Diceros bicornis minor: one gene and its partner. The protein of the gene in region 2 interacts with the protein of the main gene of each other region in a pairwise test. Links are inferred from orthologs where the notes say so. Each region holds a gene or a part of one and is shown on either strand. Other genes may lie near its edges.

Region 1 (7,387 bases), on a different chromosome or scaffold from region 2:
ATATATGAAAAGTATTTAAAACAATGACTGCCAGACAGTACTATATGAGTGTCATATACTATTACAATCTCAAAATGTATGGTGGTGTGTGAGAGAGCAAGACAGAGAAGTAGGACGATGCAAAAAGGGGCATGAAGTTATTCATTTTTATTATTCTCAAAAATAAATTTTTTATATATTTAATGTTATAAAATCTATGATATATTCATAAAATATTTTTAAGAGATATATGGAGCAGGTCGGTTAAAGGGTCTGGCTAAAAAGCCAGGGAGACCACTTATGAGATTAGCTCATTAAGTCCAAAGTGACAGAAGGGTGTTGACCATGGTTACTGGGAAAATAAAAAAGGAATGACAGAAAAGACATTCTTCTCTTTCAACACTGTGCTGCCTGTACTTCTATTTAATATCATTATGCCCAATCATAGTTGTTTCCCTGCTGCTCTCCACTAGTGAAGTTGATACATAGCAATAGCACAATAAATGTTACCCACTGTTGTTACTCTTCTTGCTGCTGTTGCAGCGAAATACTGAAAAAAGCCATTCGAATGTATCACCTACTCCCATGTTGTCCACATTTGAGATTTACATGGTAGCTCTTTCCTAACAACTATGTTATTTGTGAATCTACCCGTTAAAAATCCTTGCCTGGTAAAAGCACCTTTATTTACTACAGCTAGCTCCATGCTGAATACATATTAATTGATAAAGTTCACAACCCTGAAGTCTGAATATGAATAGCCTTCTGAGTTCATGTTGTAGTTTTAAAAGGTCTTTTTGTCTTGTCTTCTTTTTGTGTTGTCTTATTTTACAATCAGCTGTTTGTTAAGCTAAAGTGCTTTTTTAATTCTGCTGGAAATGCCAGCCTTATTTCTCACAGGACAGTTAAAGCATCTAAGCGGGCTCATATCTTATACACCGATAAACAAAATTTAGTCGTTTTTACTTTGAGACATAGTGACTTCCAAATTAGACACTTTGATGTAGCAGGTCAAGTTAATTAAGAAGGCTGTTATACTTTGACTTGTAAAGGGCCCTAGATATTCTTAGTGTACCCTTGATATTTAGAATCCTTTTCAAGCTGAGTTTACCATATAAAAATATATATGCTTTCTTATTAAACACTCCACGGGATCTCTGTCCAGGCTACCTCAAAGACTAAGGGTTGACCATTAGATAGTCACTGGTAGAGTGCAGCTGAATTCAACACTCATAAGAGTATTCCTTGAGCAGTCTCCCAGTGCTACATTTTCAGAGCAGTGAAAAGCCCTCTTCTCCCAATTAAGTTTAATCACAACTCCTACGCAGATAATCTCACCCACCTACTTAGTGACACTTCTTCCTAACAGTCTAACAGTGTCTCTCTTATCTTCCCTTTTACTGACCTAATTCCTGAATCAACTCCAATTGCTTCATTCATTCTTCGTCCTTATTCTTCCCAAAACTCTCTGCAAACTTATTACCCTCATTCTGCTGAAACCCTGAAGGTTACTTCTGGCCTCATTATCACAAATCCTGACAACAGTCATCAAAAGCTGAAACTGAGGAGAAGTGTGTCTTCCCCTAGGTGACTCTGCTTGCCCTAAACTTTTTTCCCCCGTTAGCTTCTATGACATAACTTTACCCTGATATTCTCCTGTCTTCTTCCCTCACTATCCTTTTTTCATGTTTTTACCTACGTTTACAATTCATCTAGCCCAACTCTACTTCCACACTACCTCTACTCATTCCAAATTATTTCAAGTTTCCTAAGAGCACCTATTGTCTTGTCACATGCCCCAAAATGCCTGTGATGCTTTTGTCTCCTTCCTTTTTCTGTTCTTGCCACAAGCATTTACGATTCCTTCATCATCCAGGTAGCTCCATCTTCCCTTCTAGGAAACTGTCTCTAGCCTACCCAAGCACTGCTAATCACTGTCGCCCAGGTTATTCTAGTATGGTAGTATTAAAAACTGTACTGTGTAATAATCTAATTACGTGTAGTTTCTCTTCAGTGTTTTGCTCTTTCAGAGCAGGGATTCTATCCTATTCAACTCCGTAATCTTAGAGTCTACAAGTGTGCCAGGCACTCAGCATCTGCTAAATACAGAAATAATGGCTCTCACTTCAGCCTCCTCACATTTATTGTCTATCTGTTCCTAACGCCGCGGTTCCCAAAATGCTAAGCGTTCGGTACTCCAATTCGCCAATTATTAGTGAGTGAACTGGCTGATGACCCTTGTGGAGGGGAAACCAGTATTTAAGATCATTTCCCCCTGTGGCCTCTCAAAAACGGCATTTACACACTGCAGTCATAGTAACAAGGTGGGAGGTGGGAAGCGCGCGCTCTGGGTAGGATAAGCACAGAACAAAGTTACTGGGAGGATGGGAGGGGGAGGAGCTGCAGGCAAAGGAATCAGCATAAGCAACGACGAGGATGCACTAGAGGCTGCGGACTCGGCCACAGCTGCCAAGCAAGCCGACTAGCGCGCCTACCTGTTCGCGGCGCGTTTCCAAGACCGGCCGTTACACCCACGTGACCAAAGGAGAAAGGTTTTCACAGGCCAGCGTGTGGGTACAGCCATCCCAGAGAGCCCTGGCAATGTTTGGCAACCTGGGCTGCCAAGCCGAAAGGTGAAGGGGGCATGGGGGACAGAGCCGGGCCAGGCCTGTTTCAATGGAAGACAGGAGCCTCGACAGAGAAGCACTGGACGTCAGGGTAGAACGGGGCGACCTCAGCGTCGCCTGCCGTTCCCCAGGATGGGGTGAGACGCTGGCCCAAGAGCTCTCTAAAGCGGGAGGAAAAGCAAAGAGGCGCTAGGGCCGACCTGGGGCTTATTCGAACGTCAACCGCTTCTTACCGAGAACTGAGAACCAGAAGTCGCAGAGACCGACGCTGCCGCCATCTTCCTGCCTGCCCAGCGGACCTCCGCAGCCCCGCAGCGGTCCGAGTTCTCGTGCTTTTCTTCAAAATTCGAGAGCCGCCCGCCAGGGGCGACCCTAAGCCGAACCCCTGATGGAAGGGGCTAGGTGGCTGGTGCCAGGTCCAGAAGCCCCAGCCACACACCCCCACAGGGACGCCCACGCTCAGAGCGGACACAGAAAGGGCGACACGCCCTAAAGGACGTCTTGAACAGCCAATCAAAAAAACGGACGTCTTCCGGGAGTAGGAGAGAACCCGCCTCTTCCCTCGGTGACGTCACAAGGTAGCGCGTAGCTGAGACTGCGGCGCGGGTAACGCTGCAGAATACTAGATGGCTCAGAGGGGACTCTACAAAGGGGCGGGCCTTCTCGAGGAGGAAACATGGGTGAGGGGTTGAGTTGTCTCCGGTGGCAATTGGATCGAATGACTGACAGAGGATAAAAGCGAATGCGAATTTCAAACACTCCATCGGTTCTCTCGGACTAACGCCGGAGAGAGCGTGAGCTTGACTCGGGGACGCCTCTCCAGGTGAAGTACTTACCTTTTGACCAATAACTAATAGAATTAGGAGGGGCTTAATGATTTGGTCCAATAAAAGTCAGGGGAAAAAGAGTAGAGTCAGAGAGTAAACCTTCGTGAACATTTGCCCAATTGGGTTGGGGCGCTCTCACCCAAACCTGTCACTAGCTGTTAGAAATGGCCGCGACCGGGACCTTTGGGCGGGGCGAGTTTAAAGCGGCTTTCGCGCGCTGAGAGCGTCGGGCTGTTATTGGCCAGCGACTTCCTCCCTTTGTGGGAGCTCCCTGCGTAGCCGGGGTTAGGCATTGGGAGGAGCGACCGAGAGACGCAGTACTCTCCCCAGCCAATCAGGAATGGGGAAGGGGGCCGAGAAGGAAGCGGATCCGCTGCCGCGCAGCTAAACCGCAAAGAACTATCCGCTTCGTCTCCCTCCGCCGCTATCGGGGCCTAAGCAGGAGCGGCTGGGTCGGCGTCACTTGGTGGGCTGGGGCGGAAGTGGAGGCGGAGGGAGACGGCGTCGGCCGCAGGGCCCTGGGATCTCGCAGCAAGGCCCTGGTGGGCGCGAGGCGGGGGGGGGGGGGAGGAGGAGGAGCCCGCGGCCCGGGCGGCGGTGGCGGCTGCGGCGCCCGAGTTCTCCGTAGGGCCCCGCCTCGGAGCGGGCGGCGGTGGAGGAGGAGACTGAGCAGGATGGCGGCCTCGGCCCTGTACGCTTGCACCAAGTGTACCCAGCGCTATCCCTTCGAGGAGCTCTCCCAGGGCCAGCAGCTCTGCAAGGTCCGTGGGCGCTGGGCGGCGGGCGGGCGGGGTTTCCTCGGCCGTAGCCCGAAGGTGCTGGGTGCCCGCTGCACTGCAGCGCTGAGCCCTTCGCCGGCGCCTTAGGGATTTGGAGCCTTCGCCTTCTCACCCGGGGACCCCTTTTTCCGAGGACCTGGGCATCAGCTGCGAAAGGCCCCTGGGAGGAAGACAGAATACTGCTGTCTTCCAGGCGGCCCAGGAGGGGCCCGGGCCCCAATAACGTTCAGGGGTCTCCGGGGTGGGGCTGAGTGAAGCAGCCACCTGTCTATGCTGCAGAGACCCTGGGGTGGAGATGTTTTCATCTCGTTTTTCTGCCTGGTCTGTCCTCTCCTTCCATCGGGAGGCGGGGGACGGTTTTTGCACTTTCTTGCTAGGAACCTGAAGCCGCAAAGCTGATGGCATCCTTCTTCCCTGTCCAGGAAAGCGAAGCGACTGGCTTGGGAACAGAATGCTCTATGATTTGGAGCTCCTCCCATCCCATTAAAGCCGGGATGCTGTCTGTGAGCAACGGTGCAAAATAATAAGTAGTTTCACATTTAACCAGTTCTTGAAATCGGCCCTGACAGCTTGCTTAATTTATCTGCAGCATACCCCCCACATCTAATAAAGACAAAGACACCTATGCCTTCCCCAAGGAATTGTGCTGTAATTGGCCACTTACATAAGTCACTCAATTGTCTACATCGGGGGACAGATTTTATAGCTGTTTTAGACATTTGACTAGGTTGGGTAATAATTTTCTACTAGAAAAGTGAAATTTAGGACTTTGAGATAGATACTGACTAATATATTGTTTTATTACAGGAATGTCGGATTGCACATCCTATTGTAAAATGTACTTACTGCAGATCAGAATTTCAACAAGAGAGGTTTGTATACTGAACAGTTTTTGATTGTTAAGGACAAAGTATTGTCTGTAAGGAATACTTGGGGGTTGTAATCCCATGTTTGTATTCAAGTTTTTTTAAAAAAATGGTTTAGTTTTTTAGATTTTAAGTTGTAAACTTTTTATGCATGATGAGAGAGAGAATGTTGACAAAAATTTAATGGTTATTTTACAGCTAGACTTCAGTTTACACATGAGGAAATAAAGAATAAATTGTCGCCTGAGAAATGTACAGCCTTGCTAACAAAAAAATGCAAATATAGATAGTTACTATTAAGCTATAAAAAAATGGCAAAACATTAGTGCTGGCTTGGACATGAAAAGAGGTCTTGAGTGTTACCAACTACCTTCCCCGGGTGAAATCTAGTAACTTGTTACCAGTGGAAGAACAGCACATACTTTTTTTTTTTTTTTGTGAGGATGATCGGCCCTGAGCTAACATCTGCCAATTCTCCTCTTTTTCCTGAGGAAGACTGGCCCTGGGCTAACATCCATGCCCATCTTCCTCTACTTTATATGGGACGCCGCCACAGCATGGCTTGACAAGCAGTGCGTCGGTGCGCGACCGGGATCCGAACCGGCGAACCCCGGGCCGCCACAGCAGAGCGCGCGCACTTAACCGCTTGCGCCACCAGGCCGGCCCCAGCAAATACGTTTTAACAGGGTGATTCTTAGAGAATCACAGCACATACAAGAGAGTAGCCTAAGACAAGAACAAATGATTTCTTCATGAGTAGGTGTGGACATCATATAGTGGAGAAGGCCCAGTGGAAGGTAAGGTAGGCACTGGTATGTAATGCTATACCTAAATAGTGGCAAGTGTGAAGATTTTGAAACTAGATAGGAAACATTAGGAGTTTTTGTTTAACAAAAAGTAAAAAATAAAAATATGTAAAAACATTTATCTTAAGCTATTGGAAGAAAAGTAAATTTGGATAATATACAACCCTAAAAGATACTTATGTTTGTATTTTCTAAAAAATCCTTGGTCTATATTAGAGTAAGTTTTAAGTACTGCTAAAGCAAATTGTTCTCTTTCACTGTTTGCTTTAGTTCAACATTGTGCTAGTTACTCAGAAAGCTACATAAATTTGATCATCTATATACAATTTCCTTTTTAGCAAAACTAATACAATTTGTAAGAAGTGCGCTCAAAATGTGAAGCAATTTGGCACGGTAAGTATGTCTTACATTTTCATTTCATTTTATTGTTACCGGTCAATTAATCTTTTTCACAATGATGGACCTTTTAAAAAATATGTATTGCTATGTTCTGAAATATTTCAACATACCAGAATATTTCAGGGAAGAAATTATTGGTATATTATAGTCATGATTAGTCAAAGTGCTGGCCTTAAGGCTCTATAAAATCCTGAATTGTCATTTGAACATCAAAGAAAATTAAGGTATGTTTGTTATAGTTTATGTTGAGTGTGCTTGTGCCAATATTTTTAAGTTGAAAACTCACCTATAGTATGTATTTCTTGAATCATCTGTACCTGTATATGATAAGTTGCTAAATGTTTTTTGAATAAATGATATAGTAATTAAGCTAACCAGAATATTAAATTAGTAAAACTTTATTCCTCCATATACTGGATACATCAAACTTTTCTATAAACGCATACATTTATTTTCATTCTTTGAGACCCTTTTCACGTGTAGCTTTTGTATTATATAACATGATATGCAAATCGTAAATAATGTTTCTCATGATCATTAAACTATTCAATAGAATAACAAAAAGTTTCATAGCTCTAGAAATAAATGTTAGTAAATGAATAGAAATATGATAAATGTCATTGAATGCGACAAGGCAACATACTTGACAGAAAAATTTTTTGCCTGTTTCCTTAATCCAGAAATATATTTGTACACTGGGTATATTTTATGCAGCAAATGTTTAATTTTTTTAAATGTCTCAATTAAAGGAAATGTTTATCTGTTTTTCAGCCTAAGCCTTGTCAATACTGTAACATAATTGCAGCATTTATTGGTACAAAGTGTCAGCGTTGCACAAATTCAGAAAAAAAATATGGACCACCTCAGACGTGTGAGCAGTGCAAACAACAATGTGCTTTTGATCGGAAGGAGGAAGGAAGAAGAAAGGTATATTACTTAGGTTATGACATCTGGAAATTAAATAAAACACCAACCAAGTTGGAAGTTATTATAATTAATACACTCTTGAGACTTGATGTATTCTTTGGGTCCCTGAAAGCAGGTAGTTAGATAAAAGTGCAGGAATAGTGTCATATGTAGATTCATGTTGATCAATTGAGATTA
Region 2 (7,744 bases):
TGGCTCCGCTCCAGCTCCTGACGGTGGAGATGCTGCAGCCGGGCCAGCTCCTGCTTCCAGTCCTCGGCCTCCTGCTGATGCTGGCGCTCGAGCTCCTCACAGGACAGCCGCAGGGAGATATACTTCTCCTTCAGCTCTGCGAGCTGTTCCTGGGATTCCTCCAGCTCCTTGGCCAGGTTACCATCTTTGGTGTTCTTGCTCTTGAGGACGACCTGGGCCCTCACCTTGTACCTCTCAAACTCTTCCTTCAGCTGTTTCAGCTCCTGTTGGTAGTAGAGCGCAGTGGCCTTCTCCCCATCGGCAGCCTCTGAGCTGGGCATTATCTCCAGGTCACAGAGCTTCTCCACATCCAAGGTCACCTGGCTCTTCCTGGCAGCAACCTGCAGCAGCCTCTTCAGCTTCTCCATCTTGTCTTTTAGGACATTGACATCTAGACTGGACTCCTCTCCATGGCTGTCCAAAGGGGACCGGCTGGAGGCTGCTAGAGCCAGCGTCTTGTTCTCCAGGTCCAGCTGCAGAATGCGCTCCTTCAGCTTCTGGATGGCCAGCTGGTCCTTCTGCTTGGCTTTCTCATAGGTGCCCAGCAGTTCCGACACCTCGGATATTTGATTCTCCAGGGCTGCCACCCTCTGCTCTTCCACCTGAGATTGCTGGCGGAGTAGATCCTCTGCAAGGGCTGTCTGTAAAACAAGGGGACAGATGGAAATGCATGCAGAAAAGCCACAAAGCCCCAGGCAAACTTTGAGAAAGCAAGAAAGGGGAGCAAAATGGTCACAGGATTGGGATGGTCTGGCCAGAACGGGAACTGGGCTTTTCTGATGATTTGGGAGCTAACAAAATTCCTGTAACCTGCTTGGGTTCTGCTCCCAAACACACCTTATACCAAACGATACTAAGAACCTTTGTATATCTGCTGTTGTTCTGCTTTAGGGCTTCCACTCTCTCCTACCACATACAGAGCTCACACATAAAGTGTGTTATCTTTATCATGTGCTTCCCTAAATCCTATTAAGCAATCATATGACATTCTTGCCCTCTTCCAATATTCCTGAAAGTTCAAAATTGAGTTGGATCTCTCTCACACTGAAAGGAGGCACTGTAAAATAGCATACCTTTCCAGAACAGGCAAATCTTGACTGAAAGCAATTACAAGAGATTATTTCTTGAGAAAATTCCCTTTACGCCCTGCAGGCACCCCACCCCCTTCAGCCACCCCCCCATAGGCATATATGTCTACCTATATAGGTATATACCTATAGGCACGTACACTACCTTTCCCTGCACAGCTGCCACTATACTGCCTCACAGAGCGCAGCTGGTAAGATGCCAATGCCCAGAAGCTCAAAGCTGCCTGGCTCTGACCCAGCCTACACTCAGAAACTCCACATCCTGTTGGAAGCACACTCTGTGGATACTGCACAGAATAGGATTTCCCAAGACTCACAAGTGGAATTTTGTGAACAGCATCAAAAATGACAGTGCAGCCACTTAGTTCTAACTACCAGAGAAGAAAAAACCCTAATATTTCCCACTTCAGCTAAATGATTAATGTTTGCAGAAGACGAAGATAATTACCTTCCTCATTTCCTGCTGCAACTGGGCCTGGAAATGACTCTTAAGGCAGGCAGCCTCTTCCTGAAGTTCCTGCAGCCGGGGGTCTGGCCGATTCTTCTCATCTCGAAGAGCCTGCAGCTCACCTTTCAGCTCCTCCACTTCATGGGTCAGCTGCTTGGTCTGCAGCTCAAACCCTTCCATCTGACCAGCTGCATATGCCCGCCCAGCCAGGGCTTCTCGAGTCTCTTCCAACCGAAGCTCCAAGTCCTGGCGCTGGGTCCTCTCCTCCTGCAGCAGTTTCTGGAGCTCACGCAGCATCAAGGCATGGTTACTCTGCTCTTGGGCCCGGTCATGCTGTTGCGTGATAAGTCGTGCTTTGGTTTCTGCTATCTGCTCCTGCAGCCCCTTCACTTCTCCCTCCAGACGGCCCCTCTCCTCCTCTGCCTTCTTACTGGCATCCTCTAAGTCCTGTTTCATCTTCTTCTTGTCAGCCAGGTAAGAAGCTTCCATGCGGGACTTCTCCTGGGTGACTGTAGCCAATGAGCTGGTCAGAGTAGCCAACTGAGTCTTCAGCTGGTGCAGTCGTTTGTCCACCTCCCCACTCCCGGATGGTCCATCCCCACTGCTACTGCTGACGCCACTCTCCGACCCGCTGGCCTCTTCGGACTTTGGAGGTGGTGGTCCACGGGCCTGTCTGTCATCTTCTACCCCAAACTCACCCTTGGTGCTGGTGAGACTGGCCGCAGTGTCCAAGCTGGTGGCGGTCCCAGTGCTATCCTCGCTGTGAGTGGAGCATCGGTCATCCACAGAGTCAGGAAAGGTGAGGCCTGGAGGCTGGACGCCTGCAAGGCCCACATCCGCCTCATGAGACACCGACAGCACCTTAATGCTGGCCTCTAGCGCCTCTTTCTCTTTCATTAGGCTTTTATAGGCACGGACCACATCCTTGAGACGTGCCTGGTACTGGAGGAGTTGCTTCTTCTGCGTCTCAATGGTCTCCAGGAGGTCCTTCTTGCTCGGGCCGCCGCCGAAATTCATCCCAAACTTCTCCATGAGGGTTCAGAACAGGTTGCTCCACGTCAGCGTTGGGACAGCCCGGAAGAGGGTGGCGAAGACGCTGGCGGAGGCTGCAAACGACGGGGAGAGTTGTGCCCGCGGCCGCTCACTCTCTCCACCCAGCTGTCCGACCGGATGCTGGGCGGCGGGGCAGCCCAGCAGAAGTACCCGCCAAGTCCCAAGCCCGGAGGGCGGGGGCGGGTCCTATCCTAGAGGCGGGGCGACGTCAGCACCAGACAAGCACACTGCCAGGGCTCGCCCGCACTGCCCCAGAAGCCGCTCCGCGCTCCCTGCTCGCCCGGGCCACAGCAGCCCCAGCCGACCCTCGGCCCACGGTCGGCCAAGGCTTTAAGCTGAGCGCAGCCCCGCAATGATTGCCTAACTACAGCGGCCCCTCAAGGCCGCTTCCCGGTCCGCTGGAAGTGACGACAGCATGACGCCATAGGCTCCGCCCCCAATGGGCGCGAGGTGGGCGGGGCTACTTCAGCCGGTGGGTGGGAGGCGGCCTGTTGAGAACTCGGCTAGGCTGAGAGCTGACAGATTTTTGAAAGAGTGGAGCAGGCAAACTCGAGGACACGGGGGCGATGTTGGTTTGGTGGGGGCTACTGAGCTTGCCCTCGGGTTACGATCAGCGAGCGACAGGGGGCAACGTCGTAGTGAGTACCAGACACCTAGGTGAGGCACGCATCCCCACTACTTGGGGGCTCAGTACTTTTGTCCCTAAAGAGCAACAATTAAGGCTCCCATTTAGACCACTTTCTAGAACAGTGTTTGGCACCTAGTAGGCGTGTAGTATAATAATTATTAGCACCCTTCCTGAGTTCTGCTGAGTTGATTCAACAAATATATGTAGAGGGCATCCAATAGCCGTGACGTCCATCCTAAGTGCCAACTATGTTCCAGGAGCTTCATAAGAGTTTTGCTATTTAGTCTTTACAATAATTCTGCTCAGTAGGTATTATTAGCACTGTTTTACAGATATGGAAACATAAAGCACAAAGAGGTTAAGTAACATGCCCAAGGTCCCTTAGCTAGTAAGTTTAGGAATCCTATCCAGACCAGTGCGGCTCTCACATACCAAGTGCTGTTCCAGGTGATCACCATGAAGAGACAGGGTCCTGCCCTCAAGGAGCTCACATGTAATGAGGAACCAGACGTGCAAACACAAGTCCTGCAATCATACCAGTATGTATGAGTATATTCAAAGTGGTATGGAAGTTAAGAGGAGGGAGGCCTGCCTAGGGGAGGCAGAGAAGGCTCTCAGGGAAAATACTTTGAGATTTGAAGGATGAGTAGTGATTGCCCATCTAACTAGAGATGAGGGAAACAAGCATTCCAGGCAGAGAGAAAAGATTTCAAAGACTCCTGGGGCATCAGAGAGCCCGGCTCACCCGGGGAAACATTGAGAATCATCTCAAGGCAGTTGCTTAGGATATGTGAAGGAGGTGGCAAGAGATGGGGCTGACACAATAGTTGGGGGACCCAAATTAAAGCATTTACATTTTATCTGCGGTGATAAGAATACACTAAAGCATTTTAATCTCGAGAGTGTCATCATCAAGACTTGTATGACAGGGTGGAGACACCAAGGAGCAGGAGACTTGTGAGGAGGCTATTTCAGTCATGGGGAAGAGATGGCAGTGAAATAGGACAGTGACAACAGGGATGGAAAGAAAGAAGCTAATTAAAAAGGCTAAACATGTAAAACTGACCTGACTTGGTGACCACTAGTTGTGTTATTATATTGGGACTCGTTTAAATATACTCTTCAATCTTGTAAAAGCCTTCTTAGGAATGCAAGTCTGTGACTGAAGAGTAAAGTCATACACTCACTCATACCTAGTGCCCAAAGTCTGTTCTTTTTACAGACTTTAAAGGTCAGGATGGGGCTGGAGTTCTGTTCAGACCCAGTTTCTTAGTGGCCCAGATAACATGCAGTTGCGTTATACAAAACAGATACATTATCTCATCATTTTAATCTTCACCATAACCTCATGAGATAGTTAGGGCAGATATTAGTCTCCTTTTATAGATGAGAAAATGACAGGTTGTGAGGATTGTTGAAGCCTAAGCCCTCAAAAAAAAAAAAAAAAAAAGGCAGAACTGAGATTTGAGCTGAGGCCTGGAACAATGGCACATAGCAGGCGTTCAATAAACATTTGTTGAATGAGTGAATGGACAAATGAAGGTTCTCTGATTCCCAGCTCACTTCTCCATGTCCAGTCCATATGCAGTTGATCCTAGAAACTCACTGGGAATCCAGAATAGGCAAAATGCCTGCCCTTGCTCCACTGAGCAACCTATTACTTCATTCAACCAAGCAAGCATTTGTTAAGCATATATTAGGTGCCTGGCATTGACTGGGTCTCCGCCACAGAAGAAATTTAAATTAATTCCTATCTTGCTATTTCCTCTCAGATGCTAAGATGAGTGGGGAAATTACTTGTGAAGCTCTTTGAGTCTAGGGCCACAAGAGCCTCACAAAATCCTGGATAGGTGTGCACTAAAAATCCAGGTTCCCAGATCTGTGGCAAAGTGAGGAAGGAGCTGCAGAACGGCTGCCTGGGTCAACTGAAAAGCACTGTTTCCAGGGCCATCAGGGCGAAAGCGGAGTTCTCCAGTATGCAGGAGTAGGGTTTACAACCGCCTGCCCAGAGCTGGGAATCTTCCACTGGTTCTGCTGGTTGGGGAGATCATGAAGCAGGTGTTTTAAGGAACCTTACAGGCCAGCTAGCACTCGGGCATCTTCTTCCCCCACCTCTGGCGCCCTCCTCTTGAGATTCTACGGTCACTGAACCACCCACTACGCTCAAAGCCCCTCGCTGGGAGCTGAGGGGGCAAAAAGGAGGACTAAGACGCTTGCACAGAACTTCCGGTCTCCTAGGAGGGTAGTGCACACAGTCGATGCTGCAAGTTACCCAGGGCTAAACCGGGACGCAACAAATCAAAGCCCAGCGGCCAGCCACTGAAGATGAGACCGGGGGGCCGCTGTGGAGCGTTATAGGCTTTCCTCTGCCCCGCTCGGGCTGCGGGTTCAGCAGCCACAGACCTGACAGGCGCGCTAGAAACAAGGGGAGACCCAGGCCCCTTCCCTCTTTAAAGCCGGCGCGGGACCTAGGCTGGCTGTGGACACTAGCTCAGCTTCAGTTTTCCTCGGAGCCAGAGCCTGGGGGCGGGGCGGGGGCGGGGTTGGAGGCGGGCCCCGGACGGAGGCGGGCCCGCAGTGACGTAGGGCGGGCCGGGACGCGCGGAGGCGGCGGCGGAGCCTCCTTCTCCTGCTGCTGCGCCCCATCCCCCCCGCGGCCGGCCGGTTCCAGCCCGCACCCCGCGTCCGTCCCCGCGGCCCCTCCCCTGGGCCCCGCGATGGGCCTCACCGTGTCCGCGCTCTTTTCGCGGATCTTCGGGAAGAAGCAGATGCGGATCCTCATGGGTGAGGCAGATCAAGCGCGCGGCGCGGACCGGAGCGCCGGCCCCCACGCAGCCTTCCCGCCCCCGCGTCCCTTCTACCAGCTCACCTGTGTCTCTGACCCCGAGTCACCCACCTCCTAACCTCTCGGGGCCACTGCTCTCGGGCGGGTCGCGGTCTGCAGCTCCAAGCCCCGGGGCCTGAGACCGGGAGCTGCGGGCCTGGGTGGGGTGAATCTCCCTCCGCCCCAGCCTGGCTGGTTATAAGGGAGGATTCCGCCCTTGCAGACGACTTTTAAAAGGAGTGCGGCCCTCCTCCTGCGCCCCTTACTCCCCAGTCCTCTCTCGCCCCTCGCCCGCCTTGGGGGCAGGAGTTGGCATTCACCACCCAGGCTGCCCTCAAGGCCCGGAAGGTAGAGCACAGCGCGCACCTGCCGGCGCTCGGGCTCTCCGCCCCCGTCACCATCAGCTGGCTTGGTCTCTCCCCTTCCGTGGTCTCTAGGGGGCTCCCTCGCTCCCGTCTCCATCCCTGTGCCCCTCTCCGTTGCAGTTGGCTTGGATGCAGCTGGCAAGACCACGATCCTGTACAAACTCAAGTTGGGGGAGATCGTCACCACCATCCCCACCATAGGTGAGTCCGGAGGCGAGGCCAGGAGGAGTGGGAGCGCGGCGGCGGGCCTTCTCAGAGTCTGCTCCCCATTCTGCCCCAGGCCGTTATCTCTGTGCAGGGAGCTGACCCTGACACCAGATACGGCTACCTGAGAAGCGGCTCAGGGTATCTTTACGAGAGCGGGATGGATGTGACCAAGCCCCGCCCCGTCTGTGGACTGCCAGGCCTCTGGGGGTTCTGTTCCCTTGGGCCTTGATCATTGCCTTCTGGTTTTGTGTCTCTGCTGAATCCACGTAGTTTTAGTGAGTTCCTTCCTTTCAGGACTTTTTCCTCATATTTTTTCCAATTATCTGCAGGCTTCAATGTGGAAACAGTGGAATACAAGAACATCTGTTTCACAGTCTGGGACGTGGGAGGCCAAGACAAGATTCGGCCTCTGTGGCGGCACTACTTCCAGAACACTCAGGTCGGGGAGTGGGGGAAGGAGGGGGCACTCCCCAACCCCAGGGGAAGAAGAGTTAGGGTTAGGAAGACTGAGATGTTGGTCTAGGCTGGGCCCCCAGGCCAGGAAAAAATCCTCTAGCCCTCCTACCCTCCTTTTGCAGGCTAGCCTCTACTCATCCTTCAGAACTGGCCTTAGTCTTCTGAGACTTAGCCACCTTAGGCTTCTCCTGAGAAGCAGGGTTCAGGATCCACGCTGCCTGATTTAGCTCTCATCACATCCTTTCCCCGTTCCCTTGCACAGCTTTGAGCTAGACTGCTTGCCTGAGGGCAGAGGCTGTATCCTTTGCAGGGTGTCTCCAGTTTGTGCCAGGATGCCTGCAGAGCCCTAGTGGAAGTTTACTAGATGAGAAAGATTTAGACACAATCAAAGATGGGAAGGAGAAAGGGCCAGACTAGGCTATGTCCCAGGGGGAGTGATTGCTCTTCTTTCCTTTCTTCCTTCGCACCTAGGGCCTCATCTTCGTGGTGGACAGTAATGACCGAGAGCGGGTCCAGGAATCTGCTGATGAACTCCAGAAGATGGTGAGCACCCAGGGCCCTGGGGACTGAGCCCTCGGTTTGGAGACAGAGAGATCTCTGTGCTGGTGTGAAAGTCAGGAAATGCCTCCCAGGCCT

The links.
Region 1: the proteins of GCC1 (region 2) and CEP57 interact in binary tests that used the Homo sapiens proteins (3 or more experiments, as listed by UniProt). The two-hybrid records come from large-scale screens. The link is inferred for Diceros bicornis minor from reciprocal best matches to the Homo sapiens genes GCC1 and CEP57.

The regions. Positions count from the first base shown.
Region 1 is NC_080746.1:38,220,052-38,227,438, forward strand, and holds the start of CEP57 (centrosomal protein of 57 kDa), read right to left. Parts: upstream 3,015-7,387; 5' UTR 2,885-3,014; coding exon 2,840-2,884; intron 1-2,839. Other genes in the region: protein FAM76B, read left to right, coding at 4,108-4,194, 5,020-5,084, 6,223-6,277, 7,055-7,210. UniProt on the Homo sapiens protein: Centrosomal protein which may be required for microtubule attachment to centrosomes. May act by forming ring-like structures around microtubules. Mediates nuclear translocation and mitogenic activity of the internalized growth factor FGF2, but that of FGF1.
Region 2 is NC_080742.1:76,638,270-76,646,013, forward strand, and holds the start of GCC1 (GRIP and coiled-coil domain-containing protein 1), read right to left. Parts: upstream 3,020-7,744; 5' UTR 2,608-3,019; coding exon 1,576-2,607; intron 681-1,575; coding exon 1-680. Other genes in the region: ARF5 (ADP-ribosylation factor 5), read left to right, coding at 5,974-6,040, 6,566-6,646, 6,982-7,091, 7,580-7,651. UniProt on the Homo sapiens protein: Probably involved in maintaining Golgi structure.